3 linked regions of the Neurospora crassa OR74A genome follow. The protein of the gene in region 1 interacts with the protein of each later gene in a pairwise test. Links are inferred from orthologs where the notes say so. Each region holds a gene or a part of one and is shown on either strand. Other genes may lie near its edges.

Evidence for each region. The genes of interacting proteins can lie anywhere in the genome.
Region 2: the proteins of NCU02563 (region 1) and pan-2 interact in a two-hybrid assay, tested with the Schizosaccharomyces pombe proteins (2 studies listed by BioGRID, with this or other methods). The link is inferred for Neurospora crassa OR74A from reciprocal best matches to the Schizosaccharomyces pombe genes tfs1 and ecm31.
Region 3: the proteins of NCU02563 (region 1) and NCU07727 interact in a two-hybrid assay, tested with the Schizosaccharomyces pombe proteins (2 studies listed by BioGRID, with this or other methods). The link is inferred for Neurospora crassa OR74A from reciprocal best matches to the Schizosaccharomyces pombe genes tfs1 and tvp15.

The regions. Positions count from the first base shown.
Region 1 is NC_026501.1:2,740,343-2,748,864, forward strand, and holds NCU02563 (transcription elongation factor S-II), read left to right. Parts: upstream 1-3,703; 5' UTR 3,704-3,943; coding exon 3,944-4,075; intron 4,076-4,155; coding exon 4,156-4,911; intron 4,912-4,976; coding exon 4,977-4,985; 3' UTR 4,986-5,515; downstream 5,516-8,522. Other genes in the region: NCU02562 (hypothetical protein), read left to right, coding at 1,283-1,545, 1,610-1,667, 1,719-2,822; cys-12 (cysteine synthase 2), read right to left, coding at 5,636-7,006; NCU02565 (hypothetical protein), read left to right, coding at 7,862-8,204, 8,380-8,522. UniProt on the Schizosaccharomyces pombe protein: Necessary for efficient RNA polymerase II transcription elongation past template-encoded arresting sites.
Region 2 is NC_026506.1:3,263,266-3,270,163, forward strand, and holds pan-2 (3-methyl-2-oxobutanoate hydroxymethyltransferase), read right to left. Parts: upstream 2,855-6,898; 5' UTR 2,583-2,854; coding exon 2,094-2,582; intron 1,877-2,093; coding exon 1,214-1,876; 3' UTR 1,062-1,213; downstream 1-1,061. Other genes in the region: NCU10049 (autophagy protein Apg12), read left to right, coding at 227-637, 755-817; NCU10046 (ubiquitin conjugating enzyme Ubc8), read left to right, coding at 5,083-5,096, 5,158-5,195, 5,298-5,412, 5,572-5,753, 5,819-5,958; NCU10045 (pectinesterase), read right to left, coding at 6,749-6,898.
Region 3 is NC_026504.1:2,072,043-2,078,727, forward strand, and holds NCU07727 (COPI-coated vesicle protein), read left to right. Parts: upstream 1-3,989; 5' UTR 3,990-4,244; coding exon 4,245-4,264; intron 4,265-4,424; coding exon 4,425-4,496; intron 4,497-4,754; coding exon 4,755-4,798; intron 4,799-4,866; coding exon 4,867-4,950; intron 4,951-5,030; coding exon 5,031-5,203; 3' UTR 5,204-5,624; downstream 5,625-6,685. Other genes in the region: sre (siderophore regulation protein), read left to right, coding at 1,595-1,950, 2,009-2,571, 2,637-3,481; NCU07726 (bcp-1), read left to right, coding at 5,975-6,079, 6,191-6,685. UniProt on the Schizosaccharomyces pombe protein: Golgi membrane protein involved in vesicular trafficking.

The sequences.
Region 1 (8,522 bases):
TGATACGGAAGGGGCTTGTCGGAATGAGTGACTCAGTCTCACTGAGTGACAATTCCAAATCATTAGAGTGAGGTGATGGTGATAGCATCCAGTAGATCGAAGACCAGTGTTCCGATTGCCCACTTCATCACAGCCCTTCAATGCGCGCCTTCCACATACGAGTTAAATTATCGGATCACACCATATCCACGGAAACCGTCTAATACGAAATGGGTTAGGTATCCATCAAGGTGCCCTCGGTATCAAATTTGGGAAAGTACGCCGTACATTCATTTGTGAGGCATGAGTGAGTTTTGAGCAAAAGAAACTTCTTCGAGGAAGCTGCGTCGGGTAAAATCTTGTCAACCAACCTCAAGCGAAACAAGGAACCTTAACGCAGAATCTATTGTTAACAGCCCTCAGAGACAGAAGAAGCGTTTCAAGCTACCTACTTCATGATTTCCATTTCTGTCTTTCCTATTATCAATACTATTCACCGTCCCATCATCCGATCCCTATGTGAATCAACTCGAACTCGCCAACCGCCATGGATGGACCGAAAACCCATGATGATTCCTTGGAGGCGTTAGAAAATAAAGCCTCCCCCTCCGAACTCACTTTCTACCCTCTTTCTCTTTCAACTTCATTCACCTTTGACGTCGAAGCTAGCAACCCAGCCTTGGGGACCATGCTATTAACCGGGCAAAAACGCCAGAATCGTGGAGGAACCGCACAGAAGCACCACTCTCAACGACCATCACGGTCAATGTTCTTTGACCCCATGACACCAACTTGCGACGACGAAAACCCCTACCCCCTGGGTGGATCATCTAGAGACCAAGTTCTGGGCCTGAATTCTTCGACATCGTCACTTGGCCGTCGGAACTCCAGCCTCAGACCCCAAGTAACGCCGGTTGGAGAGCAACGGTATCCGATGACGGAAATCATCAAGGCCAGACCTTCTGCAAGCCAGCATGGCTCCGAGGATGTGCAACGTCAAGCAGCGGGAAGCACGCGGCGCACATTTGAGCCCATGACACTCGATGAGAACCCACCCGTAAACGGCGAGAGAGAGCCAACCATAGACTATGTCACAGGTTTGCGTCTTGTCTTACTCATGGCGGGCCTTATGCTCGGTATGCTACTTTTATCGATTGACCGTACTATTATATCTACGGTAGGTGACCCGGAACTGATGAGTGAAGTGAACGACCCGGAACTTACACTGTTCGAACAGGCCACGCCCTACATCACGAAGCGATTTCATTCAACATCAGACATAGGTTGGTATGGCTCGGCATACATGCTCACATCGTGTGCTTTCCAGCCAGTCTTTGGACGCATCTTCATGCTGTATTCGGTCAAGTGGTCATATCTCACTGCCATGATTTTATTCGAACTTGGCTCCCTCCTCTGCGGACTGGCACCAAACTCGGCGACCCTGATTGTTGGGCGGGCTATTGCGGGGTTCGGCAGTGCTGGTATTCTAATCGGCAGCTTTATCATCGTGACGATGGCTGTTCCGCTGCAGAAGCGTCCTGTCTTCACGTCCGTGGTTGGCTTGATGTAAGTGTCCCAGCCCTGACTGCCCTTGTTTCTGAATAAGGCCTCATATGTTGACCATATCTAGGTTCGGTGTCGGGGCCTCGGTCGGACCTCTCCTAGGTGGTGTCTTTACGGACCTTGTGGTAAGTCTTCCTTACACTCCTGCATAACATATATTCTAATGTTATTCAAAGACGTGGAGATGGTGCTTCTATATCAACTTGCCGCTTGGTGGTGTAACCATCATCTGCTTGATTCTGTTCTTCAACCCCCAAAAAAGCAATCGCAACGCCGGAACATTCTTTGACAGATTTAAGGACCTTGATATTGTGGGCAATATCCTCATTCTGGGCGCTTTCATCATGCTCTTCCTGGCGCTTGAACATACGACTCGAGGCTTTTCATGGAACCACCCACTCATCATTTGGCTTTTAGCCGGTTGTGGTATTACCGCCATTATATTCATGGTTTGGCAATGGGCTAAAGGGGATGCGGCATTGATCCCCCCTCGCATCATCGAGCAGCGTACGGTGGCGGCATCATGCGGCACGGCCTTCATGATATACGCGATCTTGATCAACATGACCTTCTTCCTCCCGATCTGGTTCCAGGCCGTCAAAAATGACACTGCCATGCGCTCAGGCGTGCACATGGTCCCGTTCTTTGTAACCCAGTCGGTCTTTTCACTGATTGCAGGAGGCATCGTGTCCAAAACTGGTTACGCAACCCCTCCAGCAGTAATCGGCTCTGCTATTGGCACTGTTGGCCTCGGATTGCTGACTCTGTTGAAGCCCGGCACAGGAACAGCCCAGTGGGTAGGCTATGAAGTTTTAACGAGCGCTGGCTTTGGCCTGTCGATTCAACAATGCTTCACAGCAGTGCAGACGGTACTTAGCGAGGAGGACGTGGCGTTGGGAACTGCGGCCGTATCCGCTGCTCAGTCGCTTGGAGGCGCTATCTTCGTGTCGGTAGGAAACAGTGTATTTCAGCATCAGTTGCTCAAGGCAGCCGACGCCAACTTGCTCCCGGGAGTCGACATCAAGCAGGTGATCGAGGCGGGTGCGACAGCGTTCCGCGACTTGATATCGGCGGAGCAACTGCCCGCCATGATTCGGGTTTACAATAAGGCGATTCAGGCGGCGCTCATCATCCCCATTCCGCTAGGAATACTCGCAACTCTTATTGCGTGCTTCATCGAATTCAGATCGGTGAAGAAACTCATAAAGACCAACGAGGAGTCAGGCACATGCAGCACTGAACTTTCCGACCAGAGGCCAGGTACGAGCGCACGAATCTAAAAGGAGGTGTATCAGAAATCCGGGTCCAGGCGCATGGGATTCTTGGGGCGATTCATTTGCAGAATTTCGGAGGAGTAAATAGGCTCAAGAGGAGCACCATATGGATTAGAAGTAGGGGGTAGGTCAGCATGATTGCCGAATATTCCAAGCAATATTCTGGAGGTCAGCTCAAGAATCTGTGTGGAAGGATTTATGTCACCCTGCGACCTGAGTTAGCGTATTCTGTGACGGTTTGTGAGGGACGACTGAAGTTAATAGTAACTGTTGTTGTGAAGGGTGTTTCCTGTTGTTGGGGCAAGAATGACAAGTCGATGTGCAAGTGGTGCGTTCAGGGGAACAGTAAACAAATGCAGCCGAGCTCCTTCAAGTGCATACCATGAGTACTGTAATGTCTGATAGATACTACATCAACAATGACAGGCAGTATGTTGAGGGTTGCACCGGATCCGGAGCCCGAACAGCCGGCCGCGAGGTGCACACAAGCCTGTGACAAGTTGGAGCTTGTAAATACATAATGTTGCCTAGCGATAAGCAGCATCGCTTTGCCATATATTTGCAGATCTAGGGACCAAAGACCTCTCCTCTGTTTGCTACTTGCTCTCATTTCAGCTGCCTTTCTCGGATTCAAACAGCAGCCGTCAAATATTTGGCAAGAGATCTCACTCTCGTGGAATTGAAAGGAAGTCTTTTGTTACCACGGTTACCACAGGTGCACGGTTAGATTCGGACTGCCTGTTTCGTCTGTTGAGCGATTGCTATTTGACGGTCTCGGCCTGTCAGCCCTTTTGTTAGTCCATTCACTTTGTTCGGTGTGGAACCTGAAGACCGGCAGAGTGGGGCTCTTTCTTTGAAGCTCCACTAACATTTCTCCAACGATCGCTGCTCACTTTGCGACTCTTCTACCTGCTCGTCATTGCTTTTCCCGCTCGACCATCTTCATCCGCAACATCGTCCAGGACAAGCTCACTCGTTCTTGCTAAGCCTTGGCTCGATATCTATCTGACCTCGTAGTAGAGGGAGATTTTCGCATACCCAATCGAAGCCGCCGATTACCTGACGCGAACGCTATCGCTTGCGCATAGTCACACACGGCCAGCCTAACGTCATCTCCCACTCACACCATGGATGACCGAGAACTCGCCGCGCGCATCAAGGCGCTCTCCAAGGCTGTCACCAGTGAACCCCCTGCGACGGTCATCAAACTTTTGGAGGAATTGAAAAGAGATGCAAAGCCGACCGAGGAACAGCTTCGCGTGAGTCTTGCTCTGCCCTCCCATTAGCGCAGAGCGATCTATGTGAGCGGTATAAGTTCTGACAACTTTGCCCGTCCTAGTCGACGAAAGCAGGTGTGACCGTGGGAAAGCTGCGAGCCAATCCCAACAAGGACATTGCCCGTATTGCCAGCGAGATCGTCAACAAGTGGAGGAAGCTCGTCGAAGCTGCGAAGGAGGCGAAGAAGAAGAGCCAGGCCGCCGCGGCCTCCGGTGCCAGCTCCCCAGCACCCAATGCATCCCCGGCGCCCGCATCATCCGCGTACAACAAGCCCTACACTGGTGACGTCGAGAAGCGCCATTTTAAGACAGACAAGGTCGACATCAACCGAACCTCGAGCCAGACGCGCAACAACACCATCGGTGTGCTCTACAACGGCCTCGCTTACCGAAGAACTGAGTCGATTGAGGAAGTCGTCAAGCGTGCTGTCGAAGTCGAGAATGCCCTCTTCAAAGCTTGCAAGGGCGAAAACCAGGAGTACCGGAGTAAGGGTCGCACCCTCTTTACCAGCCTGAAGCGCAAGGACAACGCTGCGTTGGGACGACGAGTGATGTCGGGCGAGCTGCCGGTCGAACGCCTTGTCGTCTTGTCGGACAAGGAGTTGGCCTCGGAGGAACAGCGCGCTAGGGATGAAGAGCTGGAGAAGGAGAACATGAAGAAGGCCCAGGTACCCATGGCGGAGAAGTCGATCAGTGATGCTCTGAAGTGCGGAAAGTGCGGACAGAGGAAGGTGTCGTACAGCCAGGCGCAAACACGGTCGGCTGATGAGCCTATGACGACCTTCTGCGAGTGCACAGTTTGCGGAAACCGCTGGAAGGTATGGTTGATACACACGCTTTCTTTGACGGAAGTCAATTTGATCGCTAACAGTTGCATGTTTAGTTCTCTTAAATGGCGGGGCACAACAAGCTCCTTCATCACATTCCTTTTGGTATGGCTTGGGCCGCAGAGTGTGCGTCTTTTTTTCTGGCTCGATATGTTACTTTGAAGGGGAAATCCGCCTGTTGCACGCTTCGTTGGCTGATAATTCATGACTGGATCACATTCGCGTTTGGAAGCTCATTTGGCAGCAATATGAGATTGAGGTGTCTCAAGAATATCCCTCCACCTAGAGAGCACAATGAAAGAGGAGGAGGGGGTGGGGAGGAGCGGAAATGGAAAACAAAGTTACTCGAAGACGGAAGACGCTGTACCTTCGGGAACTTCTTCAAACATCGGAGTATGGATCATCTAACTTTTCTTATTATTTTTTATACCCCAGCGAAGAGGTGAGCGATGAATCACTAGCTACTTCATGACTTGGAAAGAGGTAGATATTGAGACGGGCAACGACCTACTTAGACCTCACACCACGCATTAGCAGTAATATAACCGTTAAGAGGCCATATGGCCGATATGGCTCAACAAACGTTTCTATGTGGACCTGTTGGACTCTCGGATGAGATACAATTAGAACATATCACATGTTTGATGACAGCAGCGAACTCAGCAAGCCTGACTCAGCAGGCACAATATTTACGTTGTTCAGTCCGTCTCAATTCCTACCTCTTCAATTCCTCTAGCCCCAACTCCGCAAAAAGATCCTCCGCTTGCGCCTGGGTATCGTTTTCCAGCCCCATATCGCCAATATGCTTCCAGAACTTGCTGAGATGTCTATTGCCCGAGTCGCACAATAACGTCACCACCCGACTGCCTCTTGGTAGTTTCATGGCTGTCACCACCGCCGCCACGCAGTTAACAGCCGTGCTACTGCCGCAGAAAATGCCGTCGTGCTCCACCAACCACCGAGCCATCCGGCAGGCCTGCTCATCTGTCACTCGCACGGCATCGTCAATCAGCACCCGCCCGGACTCAAAGTTCTCCGTGATGCGGTTGATGCCGATACCCTCCACCATCGTGTCCACCTGCTGACGCCGGCGTGTACCTTCCCGCTCTGTCGACGAGTACATGACGCCGTGGCGGATCTTGTTGAACAGCCCGCTGCCCTGCGGATCCGCCAACACCACGCGCGTCTCCCATAGGTTCTTTTCCTCCTTCAGGTACTTGGCCACGCCGGCGATAGTGCCGCCCGTGCCGGCACCAGCCACAAAGGCGTCCAGTTGCCCGCCCGTCTGGCGGTAGATTTCCGGTCCCGTGGTCTTGACATGTGCTTGGTAGTTAGCCGTGCTCTCGAATTGGTCAGCAAAAAACCCGACGCTGCCGTCCGCGTGCACCGCCTCGTGCTCGCGCGCCCGCCTGCGGGCTAGGTTGACAAAATGATCAGGAGACGTGATGGGCGCCGGGTCGACCCGCTCCACCGTCGCGCCCAGGTGGTGCAGCAGCTGCGACTTCTCGATCGCCATGTCGTTCGGCATGCAAATGTGGCACTTGTACCCCTTTGCGCGCGCCAGCGTCGCCAGCGAGATGCCCGTACTGCCCACAGTCCCTTCGTAAATGGTATCGCCGCGCCCGGGCACAAGCAGCCCGCGCTCCTCGGCGTCCTGGATCATGTTGAGTGCCACTCGGTCTTTCGGGCTGCCGCCGGCGCCATTGAGGAGCTCGGCTTTGGCGAGGATGACACAGCCTGTTGCCTCGGACAGGCTGCGGATCATGACTAGGGGGGTGTTGCCGATGCAGCCCTCGATGCCCTCGACCCAGTCGAAACTGCTGTTGATATTGCTTGTTACTTCCTCGTGGTCTTCTAGTCGCACCGGACCGAAGATGAGACTCTCGCGGTGTACCCGGTTGGCGGTGGGTACTACGACGCCATAATCGCCATTGGATCGGCTTAGGTTGCGGTTCCTCCGCCGTTGGTACCGATTCTCGAGTTCGGGGTAGCAATCCTTGAAGCCAAGGGTGACGAGGATACCCGCGGCGAAGGCGGCTGTGAGAGCTACCGTGCCGTAGACACGGGGATGGTCGCTTATTGACATGTCTTGGCGGTTGTTTGGTGTGGAGGGAATCTGAATTATCTCATAGTAGGTGGTGTCTCGTTATGGTGTCTCGATAGTTAGATTTGCGCCGTTGGCGCTGTTGCACGGAAAGAGAATTCGGTTGTTGAGTTCTTTGAGATGTAAAGGCACAGAAGCCGAAATACACAAGAACAGAAAATGTCGAAAAATGAAGTGAGAGGGTGTCTGTCTTATCTGATGTGGTCGGGTTGTCCTCAAAAGTTGTGAGGTTTTTTGCTGTGAAGTTGCTGTTGATGTCATGCAACGATGGATCTTCAGAGCATAGTGTTATCGATTCAGTCGCTCGTCTCCCACGGCAGGCAGGGAAGAACCTTTGGCTCCGGTGACCGGCCTCGCCTCCGCTGAAGCCGGTCAGATCGGAAGCCATGAGGCCTGTCACAGATAGTGTCGTGAATCGGCACTTCCCCGTTGCTGCGGGTCACTGGTGGTAAGCGCCGTTGGGGGCAACGGACAGCGAGAGCCGAGCCATCCTCCAATGTCGTGTGTCCCTGGCCTGGGCCGCCACCACCGCTGTCCCGAGCGCAACTGTCAGCTAGTTCTAGAACCGAATGAGGAAGTGAGCTCGGGCCACCCCGCAAAAGCTCCAGGATCCATCCCCCCTCCCCCATCAACCTCCACCTGTCGCCCCGTGTCCCCTTGACGATTCCACTCCACCACATTTACCGACCAGGTATACGGTACCTCGACCTTCCTTCTCACTGGCGCGGGGAGTTCAGTTGGAGCAGGTGGCGAAACGAACAGACCGTCAGCAACCTCCGGGATACTGCCCGGGCTTCATTCTCTCGCCCACCAACAATCTGGACTCACCCGGTCAGTATGGACTCGCAACTCGTCAACCAGCTGTTCAGACAGCTTTTTCGCCATCATCCGGCATGTCAATCACAGAAGCATCTCCGCCATCTTGCGACCGCGACAGCCCATAATGGACATCGAGTACAGCAATACCACAGACGACAGCAGCGACGACCATACTCGAGCCAGCGTCGTGGCGCGAGCTCTCCCGTGGGGGATGAAAGCCAATGGCAGCAGCGGACAAAGATCCTGAATCAGGACATGACAGAGGAGTACAAGAGAGCGCCAATGGTGACTGCGGCCGAGCTTTGGGGCAGGAAACAGAGACCACGTCGGGTCAAGATGCTCCTAAGGGACTTTATCGAAGGTTGGTTGCCGGTCCAAGACAAAAACATGGCGCATTACCCGAGGGGTTGAGAAATCCACCTACTTAGCTGCGACAGCACAAAGCCCAAGAATGAAAAAGAAAAGAAGAGAAAAGAGAAGAAGAAAGACAAGCACGAGACATTGACATTCTGTTTTCCTTTTGCACAATGCTGCAGACAGCCTCTACAATCCCAACTACGGCTACTTCTCCAAGCAAGTCACCATCTTCACCCCCGGCGAGCCCTTCGACTTCCCCAACCTCCGCGACGAGACCGAGTTCCAGAACGTCCTTTCCCAGCGCTATGTCGATTTCGAGGAC
Region 2 (6,898 bases), on another chromosome or scaffold:
GTCACCTGAATATAGCCGTTGGATCTCAGGCTGCTCAAGAAAGCTACCAAAGGAACACCACGATCAAGTCCAACCGAGAAACTGGTCCAAGCGCTCAATCATCACCAAGCAAACAAACAAACAAACAAACACGAACAGGACAAACCCGTGATACGGTTCATCGCTTCAACTTTCAATTCAACCTCTCTCCTTCTGATTCATCACCTCACATCCAGACAACCCCAAAATGGCATCCTCCCAACCCCTACATGGAACCGCCTCCCCATCCCTAGTCCACGACGACAACAACCCAAACTCATCCACAGCCTCCCCTGTCCTCGAAGGCCGCGACTCGCCCAACCTGCCGCTGACCATGACCGCCTCCACGGTTTTGATGACGCTCCCGCGGGACGCCACCGCCGCCCTCGCCGAAGCCGGGACCTTTGACCAAGAGAAGGTGGTGATTCGTTTCAAGCCGGTCGGGTCGGCGCCCGCCCTCCGAAGGGAGCAAGTCAAAGTGCTGAGCACGCACTCGTTCGAGACGGTGGTGGCGTACCTGCGTAAGACGCTGAAGGTGCAGGAGACGGATAGCGTGTTTCTGTATGTGAATAGCGTGTTTGCGCCGGCGTTGGATGAGGTGGTGGGGAACTTGTGGAGGGTGAGTTTACTTTGGCTTTTTTCCGGTTTTTGGTGAAGGTGGTAATAATTTCGGGGGTGATGATAGTGTCAAGTGCGAGTAATTGTGTGAAATGTGTGCTAACGATGTGTGTTGCAGTGCTTTAAGGATTCTACGAACCAGCTAAATGTTTCGTATTCGATGACGCCGTCTTTTGGGTGATCACCTCAAGTCTGAGAGGTGAATCAATCCCTGGAGATTTGCAGGGTCGGAACATATCTTATGGACAGCATGTTAGACTGTGTCAAGACTGTGACGAGCCGTGTCGAAAAATCATCCAACAAATCTAGGATTACTATGGAAACTTCAGCATCCTTGAGCAACTATCTGAAGGGTTTTGACACCACGGAACGCCACACCGTCAAGGTCATCAATATCCACGGCATCTCACATCAAATTAAAGGGATCACGACAGAGGTACATATCAAATTGCTACACTATCAACGTGAGGCAACGCTCTTATATCCAAAAACAGCAACACATTTTTTTATCCCAACATCATGCAAGGCGTATTATCCTCCTCCTCCCGCCGCTGCCACGCACACACTACAGCATTACTCACGCATCCTTCTCACCCTCCCCTTCAGCCTTGGCAGACGCATTCGCATTCATCAGCCTCCTCACATCCCCCACAAAGGCCTCCACCTCCTCCTTCGCCATCGGGTACGTATGCTCCTCGGCCGGATAACTCCCGCCCTTGACTTCATCCCTATACGTCTCAATAGCCCTCAACGCCTCCCCCCACACATCGCCATACTTTTTCACAAACTTGGGCAAGAACCTCCCAGGCGGGAAATTCCCCGTCATATCGGCCTGCACCAGCACCTGGCCACTCGTGCCGTTTCCAGCACCAATGCCAATGGTTGGGATTTTCAGGAGACCGGTGATGAAGGCCGCCACCTCCTGCGGCACGGCCTCCACCACCACGGCGAAAGCACCGGCCTCCTGGACGGCCAGGGCGTCTCGGAGTAATCGCTTGGCGGATTCTTTGGATTTGCCCTGGACGCGGAAGCCACCCAGGGCGTTTTGGCGCTGGGGAGTGAGCCCGATGTGGGCGAGCACGGGGATGCCGGCGGTGGTGATGGCGCGGATGGTGGGGGCCATCTCGGCGCCGCCTTCGAGTTTGACGGCGGACACGCGGCCTTCTTTGATGAAGCGGATGGCGGTGGAGAGGGCTTGTTGGGGGGAGATTTCGTAGGAGCCCATGGGGAGGTCGCCGACCTGGAAGCATGGTTAGTGTTTTTTTTTTTCTTTCTTTTTTCTAATGGTTCACATAGGGAGTAGGGTATAGTGAATAGGGGCAATGATTGAAGACGAGGGAAAAATAAATGAGACGACGGAGAAGGAAAAAAATAGGGGTAGGTATAAACAAAGGGTTCTCAAATAGAGACCATGAGTTGAGAGGATATAGGATATTAGAAGAAGAAGAAAAACTCACAGTAAAAGCCCGGCTAGTAGCCCTCGCCACACTCCGACAATGCAGCAACATCTCCTCCACCAACACCTCGCTCGTGTCCTCCATCCCCAGAGCAACCATGGCCAGGCTGTCGCCCACCAGGATCATGTCCATGCCCGCGTGCTCGGCCACGTGTGCCGAAGGGAAATCGTGCGCCGTGATCATGGTGATTTTCTCGCCCTTTTTGTACATGGACTGCAGCGTGTTGAGCGTGACCTTTTTGCGGGGGTTGGTGGGCGGGAGGCCCATGGGGGAGTGAGAAGAATAGCGGGTTTGGATTTGCACATGTTGGTGGTGGTGGTGTAGTTGGGGTTGGTAGTATCCCGTGGTGGTGGTGGTGGTGGTGGTGTTGAGGTGAGGTTGAGATGCACCGCCGGCACCACGCAGCAGGACTAATGGTTTGCAATTGGTACCCCTGGAAAGGAAGGGAGAAGACCTCCGGAGTAGTGAAGATGTTATTTGCTTGTGCATTATGGTGGTTGTAATGGTTGTGGCTGTGGTGGTGGTGTTATATAAGTGATGAGAAGCGTATGTAAAGTACCGGTCCAGAATATACGCAAGGTGAAGGTACAACGGAATGAATGAAGCGACTTTGCGATGCTTGGAACAATCGATGCAACTTTTCCCCACGGTTTTGGTGGTTGATGGAAATAACCAATGCTGCACTGAAAGTGATTGATTGAGAGGAAGAGTAAATGATTTCTACATTTGCGCCATTTTTTTTTTCTCACTGCGCCCGGCTCCTCCTTTTTATTTCAACTCCTGAAGCCATGATGGTTTTTGCTGCGTAGAATTGAGTATATCTCACAAATTTCTTGGTGTTCTTTGCCCGTTTCCGCCAAGTGTCAAGGGGGGGACTGGGACCCGCCGGCTTGTTCGGGCGTTCGGAGAAAGACCCACACTACCCACTTTACCGGTCGCTTGGATGTGCTTGATTGGCTGTGTCCCTGGGGCCGAGGCATCGGTGACTGTCGACTGACACTCACTGGCGCTGCACTAACAATTTTGGGACTTGGACAAACGCAAGCATCTTGATGATGATGTTCGTCTCCGAACGGACACCGAGAACATTGACGGTGTTGACCTGCCTATCGTGATGGTTTGAGGCTCTATAGACTATTGTAGGGGAGTGAAAGACTTTCTGTGCCGTGTCAGATAGGTAGCATCTATGCAACCACTTTATGTAAACCCGCCGACTTTGGCTTCAGATGACATTGTGAACTGCGGGGAATTGTCAGCCCTACATGAACGCATGGCGTTCCGCTACCGTGGTCCAGAGCCGAAGATTTAGTGTTGGACTACCTTACCTATATCGTGGGCTTAAGAGATGAAAATGTCTTGGGCCTTGAAGTTGCTGGATTATCTGCCTCATTAGGACCGCACGCAAAGTCGCAGGCAACCAGCCAAGTTTATGATGCCCAAAATGTAGCACCGTTCAAGGAGACCGCGTGACCCGTGTACCTGGTCGCTGGTGAACAGCCATCGCCAACCACAACACCAACCAAACTTCCTTCTGTCAAGTCTAGTCTAGTCTAGTGCTTCCTTTTCCCCAGACTTTCCCGCCATTCACAGTTGAATCTTGACGTCGGATCGCCGGCCACCTTTATGGACGCAAGGCCGATGGTGGGTGACGGTATGTTAACGGGGTTGATCGACATGTTTCTTCATTGGCACTACACACACACACACACACACACACACACACACACACCATTGTCAAGATTGTTGGGATATCCCGAATTTGGATCCGAGTCAACTCTTATATGTCTGTTGAGCGGCACGGAACGCGTTCGAGATTATACGATCCAATACAAGGATGTCACCTACCTCTTGGTAGCTGATGATGCGCCGTTCTTTATCAGATGTTGCTGTTGACCATTGTGTCTGTTGTTGGTGACCGGATTTGGCTTGGAGACAAAGCAAACATGTAACACTACCCCCGAAGTGTACCTTGCGGTTGGTAAACTCGCCTTCCCATAATGAGAAGGTTGACTGGAGTTGACTCCTCCTCCCGCTGTCCCGTCATTCCCCGTCCTCAACATCTGAAGCACAACAGCCGGTCCCGAGTGACCGCCAATGAATCATTATCACATCCCTTCAGCGCATGACCATCCCCACTCCTGGCTGCTTATCATTCGCTCGCGGCCGGCAAATGCACCCCTGGCTGCTACCACCTGAGGAGGTCAGCGCTGTACGGTAAGCCTGACGTCGTGGACGATCGTCGCTACTGCGGGCGGGAACGTGACGGGAGTGCGACTTGTCTCATTCATCCCACTTTGTTCCCAACTTCGACTTTCCGACCTGAATAATCAATCAAACTATCGACACTTTGACAGATCAGCTTCAGTGCCTACCTATTCGAGTCTATTCGCGATAACCTACCCGCCATATTTGGTTGTCAGCAACGCCCAAGCTTCGCTTCCAACCCACTTCGGCCGCAGCTGGGAGACCAGACGAGAGCGACATTGCATCTCGCCACCACCCGCCGACCACGCATCCAACTGCCTACTCCCGCATTCTGCAGTCTTGACACTTGTCATCCGTTCACAACATCGAATTATACGATAACGCGACTGCTTGCGACTTCGCTTCAGATTGCCTGCGACAACTCGAAGCTAGTTACCACTTCATTCTTATCAAAAAAGGCCGAACCGAGCGCGAGTTTCTGATAGACAACATGAGTTCCCCACGCCGCCGTATCGAGACAGATGTGAGTTGCGATAGTGTTCACCTTCAGTTACGAGTCAGGGACACACGTGCTAATATGTACATTGATAACAGGTCATGAAGATGTACGAATCCCGTCCTTACAAAGCTCCAACAACCCTTTCCCAAGAGCGCACTGTTAACACGACTGATACGACAGGCTCATGAGCGACTATGAGGTTACTTTGGTGAACGATAATAGTATGGATACACCCTTTCCAACTCCCTGTAGGAAACATTCAACTTCCGGTTTCGGAGCGCTAACATGGAGAATGCAGTGTAAGATGCGACAACTAAATAATCCGAGCTGGGTTGCTGGGCTTACCTAACAATACAACAGGCAGGAATTCTATGTGAGGTTCAAAGGGCCTGCCGAAAGTTTGTCTACCCAATATCTTCCATTCCCTGTCTCACCTGTGCTCAAGTCGCCATATGTATCTCGAGGATCTTACAGTCACTAACACCAAGCCCTCCCTACAGCACCCTTTGAAGGCGGCATCTGGAAAGTCCGCGTCGAGCTACCCGATCAGTATCCATACAAGTCCCCTAGCATTGGCTTCGTGAACCGAATCTTCCATCCCAACATTGATGAGCTGTAAGTGGGGACTGATACCAAACTGATTGCACCATCCGAGGAAACAATCACGACAATACGTTGGGTGGGCTCTGGTTCGCCGGGGAGAAACAAGCAACAAATAATGGGCCACTCGCCGCAAAAGAGCAATTGGGGCTAACCAAATACGCCGCATACCAGATCCGGATCGGTTTGTCTAGACGTCATCAACCAAACATGGTCGCCAATGTTCGATATGATCAACATCTTTGAAGTATTCCTGCCTCAGCTTCTACGTTACCCGAACCCTACCGATCCTCTCAACGGTGAGGCTGCTGCGATGTTGCTCAGAGAACCCAAGACCTACGAGAACAAGGTGAAGGGTATGTCAACACATGAAAACTGCTTTGGAGTACAGAAAGGGGGGAAGCTGAAATTATTTTTGCAGAATATGTCCAGAAGTACGCGAGTAAGGACGCCGCAGACGAGGCGGACGCAGAAAGTGAAGACGACGGCGAACTATCATCCGTGGCTAGTTTTGACGAGGAAGACGACGAAGAGGCCGCCGGTAAGATGGACGACGTCTAGGTTGGTAGTCCCCCCACGAATTTGAGGGCTCTTCGAATCCTGAAGGCTCTTCAAATTTTGAAGGCATTTTAGGCCGTCTTTTCGTCACTTCGCATTTGTCAGCGGCAGGAGTTGTTTTCTCCGGGGTGTTCAAGGGCCTCTGTTTCGAACCGGCGTTGAATAAGGTATCTATGGGTTGGGACGTTTTTGGTTTGCTTAGGTCACTCGCTTTGTTTTCTCCCCTCTGCTTCTAGGACTGTTTATACACATTATCATCTCAGTGCAAATCGTTATACCATTCCGTTAGAATGCTTTGGCTTTTAGTGCGTTGCCTTTATGTGGAAAAACAACCAGCTCTTGTCAGTCTAGTGATGCTTTCCTGCTTTTCCTGCTTGAGGAGGCTCAAGGAGACTCAAGTCTAAACCATCACTGAGGCACAGTTGAATCGCAACAAAGTTTAAATATCAATCCCCAGCTAGGTGTGAAAAGTCGTCACAACAAGATCTATTACAGGGTGATCTGAGGCCCGCGCTCAATTTTTTTTTTTTTTTTTTCCAAAGTTTTTTTTTTTTCCAAAGTTTTTTTTTTTTTTTTTTTTTTTTTTTTTTTTTTTTTTTTTTTTTTTTTTTTTTCACAGTCATTTTGGCATCAGCTGGGGACAAAACCTTTATTTATGTTATTTTAAATCCTGATCCGTCGTTGCGGTCCGGTTTGACAATTGTCTATTCGAATTCAAATCCTTCCATTAACCCACCTCCCATTTACTGCCTTCCTTTCCTCCCCTTCCCTACCCATCGAGATCCCTCCTAACTTACATATAGCTAGCATCATAGTAGCCCTGACGAGAGTAACGACTCCCCAGCACCGACTCAATCTTGACGGGGGAACCCAACAGCTTACCAAACCACGCCCTGACTCCGCTCGCACCCGCACCGGTATTAGCGTACTCGCCAAACTCAAC
Region 3 (6,685 bases), on another chromosome or scaffold:
GACCTCTTCCAGACCACTTGAGGTCCGGGATGGATTTTCGGAAATGATGGTCGGTGTTTTTTTGGGTGCTGTCCCGGCGATGATATAGTGTAATGTACCTTCTACCATAGCAACCAAGACCATTTCCAAAACCATATTTTCAGGTCGTGAGACATGTCCTGCTGAGCCTGATGGGCTGGAAAGAAACACCAATGTAGAACTAGACTAGATAGTGTACATAGGTAAACGAGACTTGATGGCGGCGCATTGCGTCAAAATGTACACTTGCGTCTACAGAGTATGTAAAATTGGTCGGCTTACTGACCCGTCGGCACTGCGTTCCCGTACCCAATGCACGCATAAGGAACCCCGGTCATTCTCATCTAAGCCCTGTCTGCTGACATTGCGTGGTCCGTGATTGGACATATCTGGGTACCTTGTGGGTCACTTATTCCCTTGCAGCATCTGGCTCCCCAAGTCGAGGGGACCAGTGACACTGGACCTGAGAAAGGACCTTTTTCATCCTGTAGCCAGCCCAATTCCACGTCCCATGATCTCAAATCAGGTCTCCCAAACAAGTGGGAAAACGGGTTTGATTTTTGTTGTGCCAAATCCTCTCTATGTCGTACTGTAAAATCAAACCGCTTTGTTCTCTTGTGGCCCTCCTTCAGGCTAAGACACTGTCGAACCTTCCTCCCTTCCAGACGTGTTTGTCCTTGGCAACGACTACTTAGCAGACGAACCCCTGGGTGAAGCCCTCCTGCGTACGGTATCCAACCGTCTCTCAGCCCTTTGGTTCGCCAGGATTATCCGTAGATCAGATAACAGATCTGTGGAGCAGTGGAGTAGTAATCAGAAGCACAACAGAGACTCTTGAGGCAAAGGGGGGAAGGATATGCAGACATTCGTCTGTCCACTCACCTAGAAGACGCAAAAAGACAGAAAGACGACAGAAAACCTCAAGACCAGCCTTTGGCCCAGACCCGCCCTCTTTTTTGCTTTGCCTTTTCCGTCCACCAACCCTTCAGTTTTATCTGCTACCTCGGATCCCGACCGACTTCGCCATCCTCGTGCACTCTACCGGAGTACACAACCGTCCAGGTCTTGCCACCAACGCGAACCCGCTCGTACCACAACCTGGCGCCGTGTCCAAGCCTTTTCTTCCAGCATAACCAACTTCTGATTCAGCGGCACCCTGCTGCGGTCTGTAGTACTCGCTTCCTCTGGCCATTTGACCCCATCAATCGCCTGTTTCGGACACCCAACACGTGCTGTTCTCCTGGTACCGGCGCTCTGTATTGGCCCCGGATCCCGCCTGGTCCTTAGCGCACATTGCCCAGAAGTTGGGGTGGCTTACTTGCCATCCAAGTACAACTCCAACGATCGATCTCGGCATGTGTTTGACCGCCGACCTCGATACCGTTTCCGCCTCTTGACGATCACGGAGCGATATTGAAGCCAGCCTGCGCATCCCCAAGACTCCCGGCGCCGTACAACATCCACTTTGTTTTTCAACAGGCTTTCAAACACATTGTGTCCCTTCTCAAGACGGATAACTAGCCTTGAGCATACATATTGTTAGGTTGAGATCCATACGCAAACACATTGAGAAGGAATGGCATTGCCGGATGACACTCGCCTTATGAACAACCAAACTTCCATCGAAGGTAACTCGGCACCTGATCGTATGGCTCTTCCATCAAGGCCACCCCCACCGACCGCAAGTAACGAGCCCCCGGAGCACGAGTCAACCGGACCGGTTGACGAGGCGGCCTCCAAGTCCGAATCCGGGCTCTCGCCGAATTCAAAGAAAGCGGGGCATGCTGCGCAGAGTCCGTCTGGTCGCAAGAAGTCTCCAAAAATCCAAAATGCCCAACCAGCACAATCTCCAGCCGAAACCGTGGGGGTGGTGAACGTTGCAACGCTGGGACTTGTGCCTTCTGTTCAGGGTCATGCGGGTCAAGTCTGCAGGTATGAATGTCCCTTTCCTAATGACTGAATCTGTAGGCCAGCGCTAACGACTGAGTAGCAATTGTGGTACGACACATACTCCTCTTTGGCGAAGATCACCTCAAGGAGCCATCATTTGCAACGCTTGCGGACTGTACCTAAAGGCGCGTAACGCGGCTCGCCCCGCCAACATCAGGCGCCCTCCCAGCGTGATGGCGAGCAATGTTAGGCAGGCCGCGGCCAAATTGTCCCCCAAAAAAGCAACCGCACCGTTACTGCCAAGCAACCCGGGAGCAACGTATGTGGCCGCCGATCAGACGCCGTCAGGATCGTGCCCTGGAGGCGGAAGATGCAACGGCACAGGTGGTGCGGAGGGGTGTGGTGGTTGCCCCGCATACAACAACCGCGTTTCCAAGAGTGCGAGTCTCAACGTGCTAAAGTGTCAGGGCGCAGCAGCCGCGTCTTCCAAGAAACCTCAAGCAGCAGAGGGCAGCGGGGAAGAACCGACTGAGATGGACATCACCGCCTTACACGTACAATCGCAAAACACAACCGTTGTTATTGCTTGCCAAAACTGCGGTACTACCATTACTCCGCTCTGGCGAAGGGACGAAGCCGGTCATACCATTTGCAATGCGTGCGGTAAGTGCATGAACTTATGGCCTGAAAAGTTACAAATGGGATGGAATTTGCTAACTCGAGTAAAGGTCTCTATTACAAGTTGCACGGTGTGCATCGGCCAGTGACCATGAAAAAGGCAATAATCAAACGGAGAAAACGTGTGATTCCTGCCGCCGGAGGTGATGCCGAAATTGAGCCAAGTGAGGCTCCAGATTCACCACCCGCGACATCAGAACCTCCGATGGAGAAAGGTACGGTCAACGAAGATGGATCTGTTAATCTCGGCATCCGCCGACGTTCAGTGCGACCATTGACGCTCGTGCCTGAGGACGAATTGCGGCGAAACAGACAGGCATCCCCGCTGTCTTCAGCCGCCTTGGGACAGTACCACTCATCTCATACAAATCAACCACACCACGGGGCTCATGCATCTCTCACTTACGAGAATCGACTGGCTCCCATTCATTCACTGGCGCTCCCAGTTGATCGTCAAGCGTCCATTTCACCAGCATCATTTCTGTCCCCATCGAGAAAGCGGTCGATATCTGCTGTAGAGAACGAACCTTCGTCTCATAATGACAACGAAAGTCATAAGCGCCTGTCTTCCATCAAATCCATTCTCAACCCGATGCCGAGTTCTGAGATACACCGAGAGGTTTCGCCGGCAGACCAGTTACGGATGCAACCAGCCTCCCGGTCCCCAGCCATGAGCAGTCTGACTCCAGCACACAGTCCAGGGTCATTTTCAAACAGTACGGTTATTGGGACACCAACATCAGCTCCGATTTTGCGGAGCGCCTCGAGAGATACCCACAATGATAGCGAGCGGATGAAGGCAGAGCGAAGAGCAGCGTTGGAGCGCGAGGCCGAAATGATGAGAGAGTTGCTGGCCGCAAAGGAACGGGAGCTTGCCGAGTTGGGTTATGATTGACATGCGGAGGCTGAAAAAGCGGCATGCTGTGAATTCGGGGGAAACAACTGGAGTTATTCGGGAGAGCATACCCATGGAATTTGACTTGTGCATAGATAGATAGCAACGGAAGGCATAGTCTTTTTGAGGAAATCCCAATGACAGTTGGAGCCAGAGACCTTTAGTCATAGTATCCGCATAGTGGTTATGCGTCTATTCATCGATGCCGTCCAGTGGATTTGGTTTTGCATAGTAATAGCCGTCTCATGGCTGTAAACCCTAATTGCAACACCCTCGCTGCAATGGCGAAGTGTGATGCGGCAATGGAAGTTTCAAAGTTCCAGACGGAAAGCCCCTGCCCTGACATGCCGTAGGAGCCAGTGACAAGAGGCCGCGCACGCTTGCATCAGCGTCGTAGGGCGGAGCTCCCACGTTGCGCGCGTTTGGGGCCGGTTTAGTGGACAATGTACCCCGGCAGGGACCACCCGACCCTCCTGTTTGGTGCAGGTGAGGCTACCAGCTTCCTGACCTCGAGCTTCGATTGTTCCAGGCAACACTGTAGAATACACCATCCTCACAACATCTTTCGTTGCTCCGTCAAGAACCACCACCAAGTGGCCACATCTATCTCTACGCTCGCGCAAATTTCCGAGACTCATTTTGAATCGCTCTCTAGATTGCGTCGAACCCAGCAGATCGCACCTGTTCCTGCGACATTCTACCAACCTTTGCGACGTATTCGCACCTCCTCCACCACCACAGCCACTACTAAAACAACGCCATAATGGATCTCTCCGACTCTTTGTACGTTCACATCCGCCCGCTCGTGCGACTATGGAGAAAGAAAAGAAAGAAGGGGATGAGAGCGGAGAACAAGCAAGACCGCTGGCCCCCAATACTGCGTGCATCCAAGCATCCGTTCGAGGTTCAGAACTACTTGCTAACATGATGTCCTCCTCTCTAGTCGCTTTGTCAACCTCGCGGTTGCAGTGCTTATGATCCTGGGTGGTGTCTCCCAGTTCTTCCCTCTCGGAATGTACGTTTCCTCATTGTACGCCCGTTAGCAAGCCGACCGACTGTACAAAGTTATGCGCTTCCCTCCACGAGCGGATATTGTGGACGCAGCAATCTTGGGCGGTCGCCGAAATCGATCATGGTCCTGAAGCCTGGATGTCCCGGCTGCCAGTGCGCGCCCGCCTATGCTCACAAGGGTGTTACATGCTTTGTCCGGACTGTTGCGCAGGCTGATAGAAATCGTATGGAGATGTAAAACTGACCAAGTTACTGTCGACAGTCAACCAATTATCCTCGGGTGCTACACGATCCTGTTTGGTGTTGGTAGGTGGTCGCATACGTCGACAGAAACATTCAAATGGTTTCCGAAACGCTGACGCTGTTCTTCACAGCCACCGGTCTCCTGGAGTTCCAGATCCCTCACCAAGTCTACCGCTATGCGTCGTTCATGTTCTCGTTTCTTGGTCGTGGTGTTTGTACGTTATTGTTGCCCCACCCCCCCTCTGCTGCTATTGCTGAGTTATTGTGACTAATCGTCGGTCTACTCTTTGTACAGTTTACATCTTCGTCGGCTGCATCATTCCCCATGGACACTGGGCTACAATCATTATCGGCTCGATCATCTTCCTTGTCGGAGTCGCCTATGTCGCTCTCGAATTTGTGCCCTCTATTGAGCCCCCTCCAAACATGCGCGAGGTGGATGCGGGCTGGGGCGCTGAGCAGGTGTAGTTTGTGATACACGTCACTATTTGGGAAGTAATGCCCTGCCGAGAATTGGTTATGTAAGCATGAAAAGGGCTCTGTGGCCGCCGACAATGTCATGTCGACCCATACCAAGATGAGACGTTTGGGGTGTGAGAGTAGCGGGAGGATGGTCTGTTTGACAGCTACTCAGGAGCGCTGCTGGTGATCAACTGGTGTCAGAATGTTGAGGAATATGTTGCGCCAGCTGAATGCAGCACAAGTCAAGGGGTACGTAGTTACTTTCAGTAGATAACATCAAGGATGTGTAAGAAGATCAACGATTTAGCTTATACTTTAGTTTGAGGGCAGCAATGGTGCAGCCAAGTCAACATTTTGGATAGGACTGGCCTGCAGTCTTCTGGCATCCATAGACAAGCACTGTCCGTAAAGATGAAGTATCTTCCATTTATCGTTCGCGGTGGCAGTTTTCCACAATGGCAGATCATTAACTGGGTGAACGTGGTTGGAAATCCCCCCCTTTTTGGAGTTTGGGCAATTGTGGTTGTCCTAGCAACCATTTTGTTGTATCTAAAGCTGGAAGGGTTAGGGTATATGCAGGTAGGCGATAAGGTTCTTATCAATTTCAATCTTAAACAACTGCATTACAAAATTTTGAGCTTGACGGCCTGAATGACCTCAAAGTCAACCACATATCACCAAGTAAGGAGCCCTGTGAACACAATCATGTGTGGAATATGCGACTGACAAGTCGAATAAGGACCATTTTTATTGAGTCGTTCAAGTACCACATTCAAGATGGGCAAGAAAAGATCGAGAGAGGAAGCCCAGAAGGAGGTCGTCCAGAACGACCCCACAGTCGATAAGATGGATGAGGATAGTGACAGCTCAGACTCGGATGAGGTGAGTTACTTTCCCTTGGTGCACCAGGCTCGGTTGTTAAACCGACCACTTGCATCTTGGTCGAACCTCTCTTGGCCGGGAGTCGTAATACTAACATTGGTTGGAAACAAGGACATGGATATCATCAACGTCGACTTCGAGCTGTTCAATTACGACAAGGACATCGACTTCCACGGCGTCAAAACGCTTCTTCGTCAGCTCTTCGACGCTGACGCCCAGCTCTTCGACCTGTCCGGGCTCAGCGACATGATCATCGAGCAGAACACCATCGGCTCGACGTGTAAGGTGGACGACAAGGCCAACGACGCCTACGCCTTCCTGACCGTGCTCAACGCGTGGGAGCACCGCGAGAAGAAACCGGTCGCGCAGCTGATTGAGTACCTGTCCGACAAGGCCGTCAAGGCCGGTGATTCCAGCCTGTCTGTGCTGCCTGAGTTGTTCACCTCCGGCAAGGCCCAAGTGGGCATCGTCCTGTCGGAGCGCCTCATCAACATGCCGGCCGAAGTCATCCCGCCCATGTGGAACATGATGATCGAGGAGATCCAGGACGCCGTGGACGACAAAGAGCCATACGAGTTTACGCACTACCTGGTGGTGTCGCGCGCG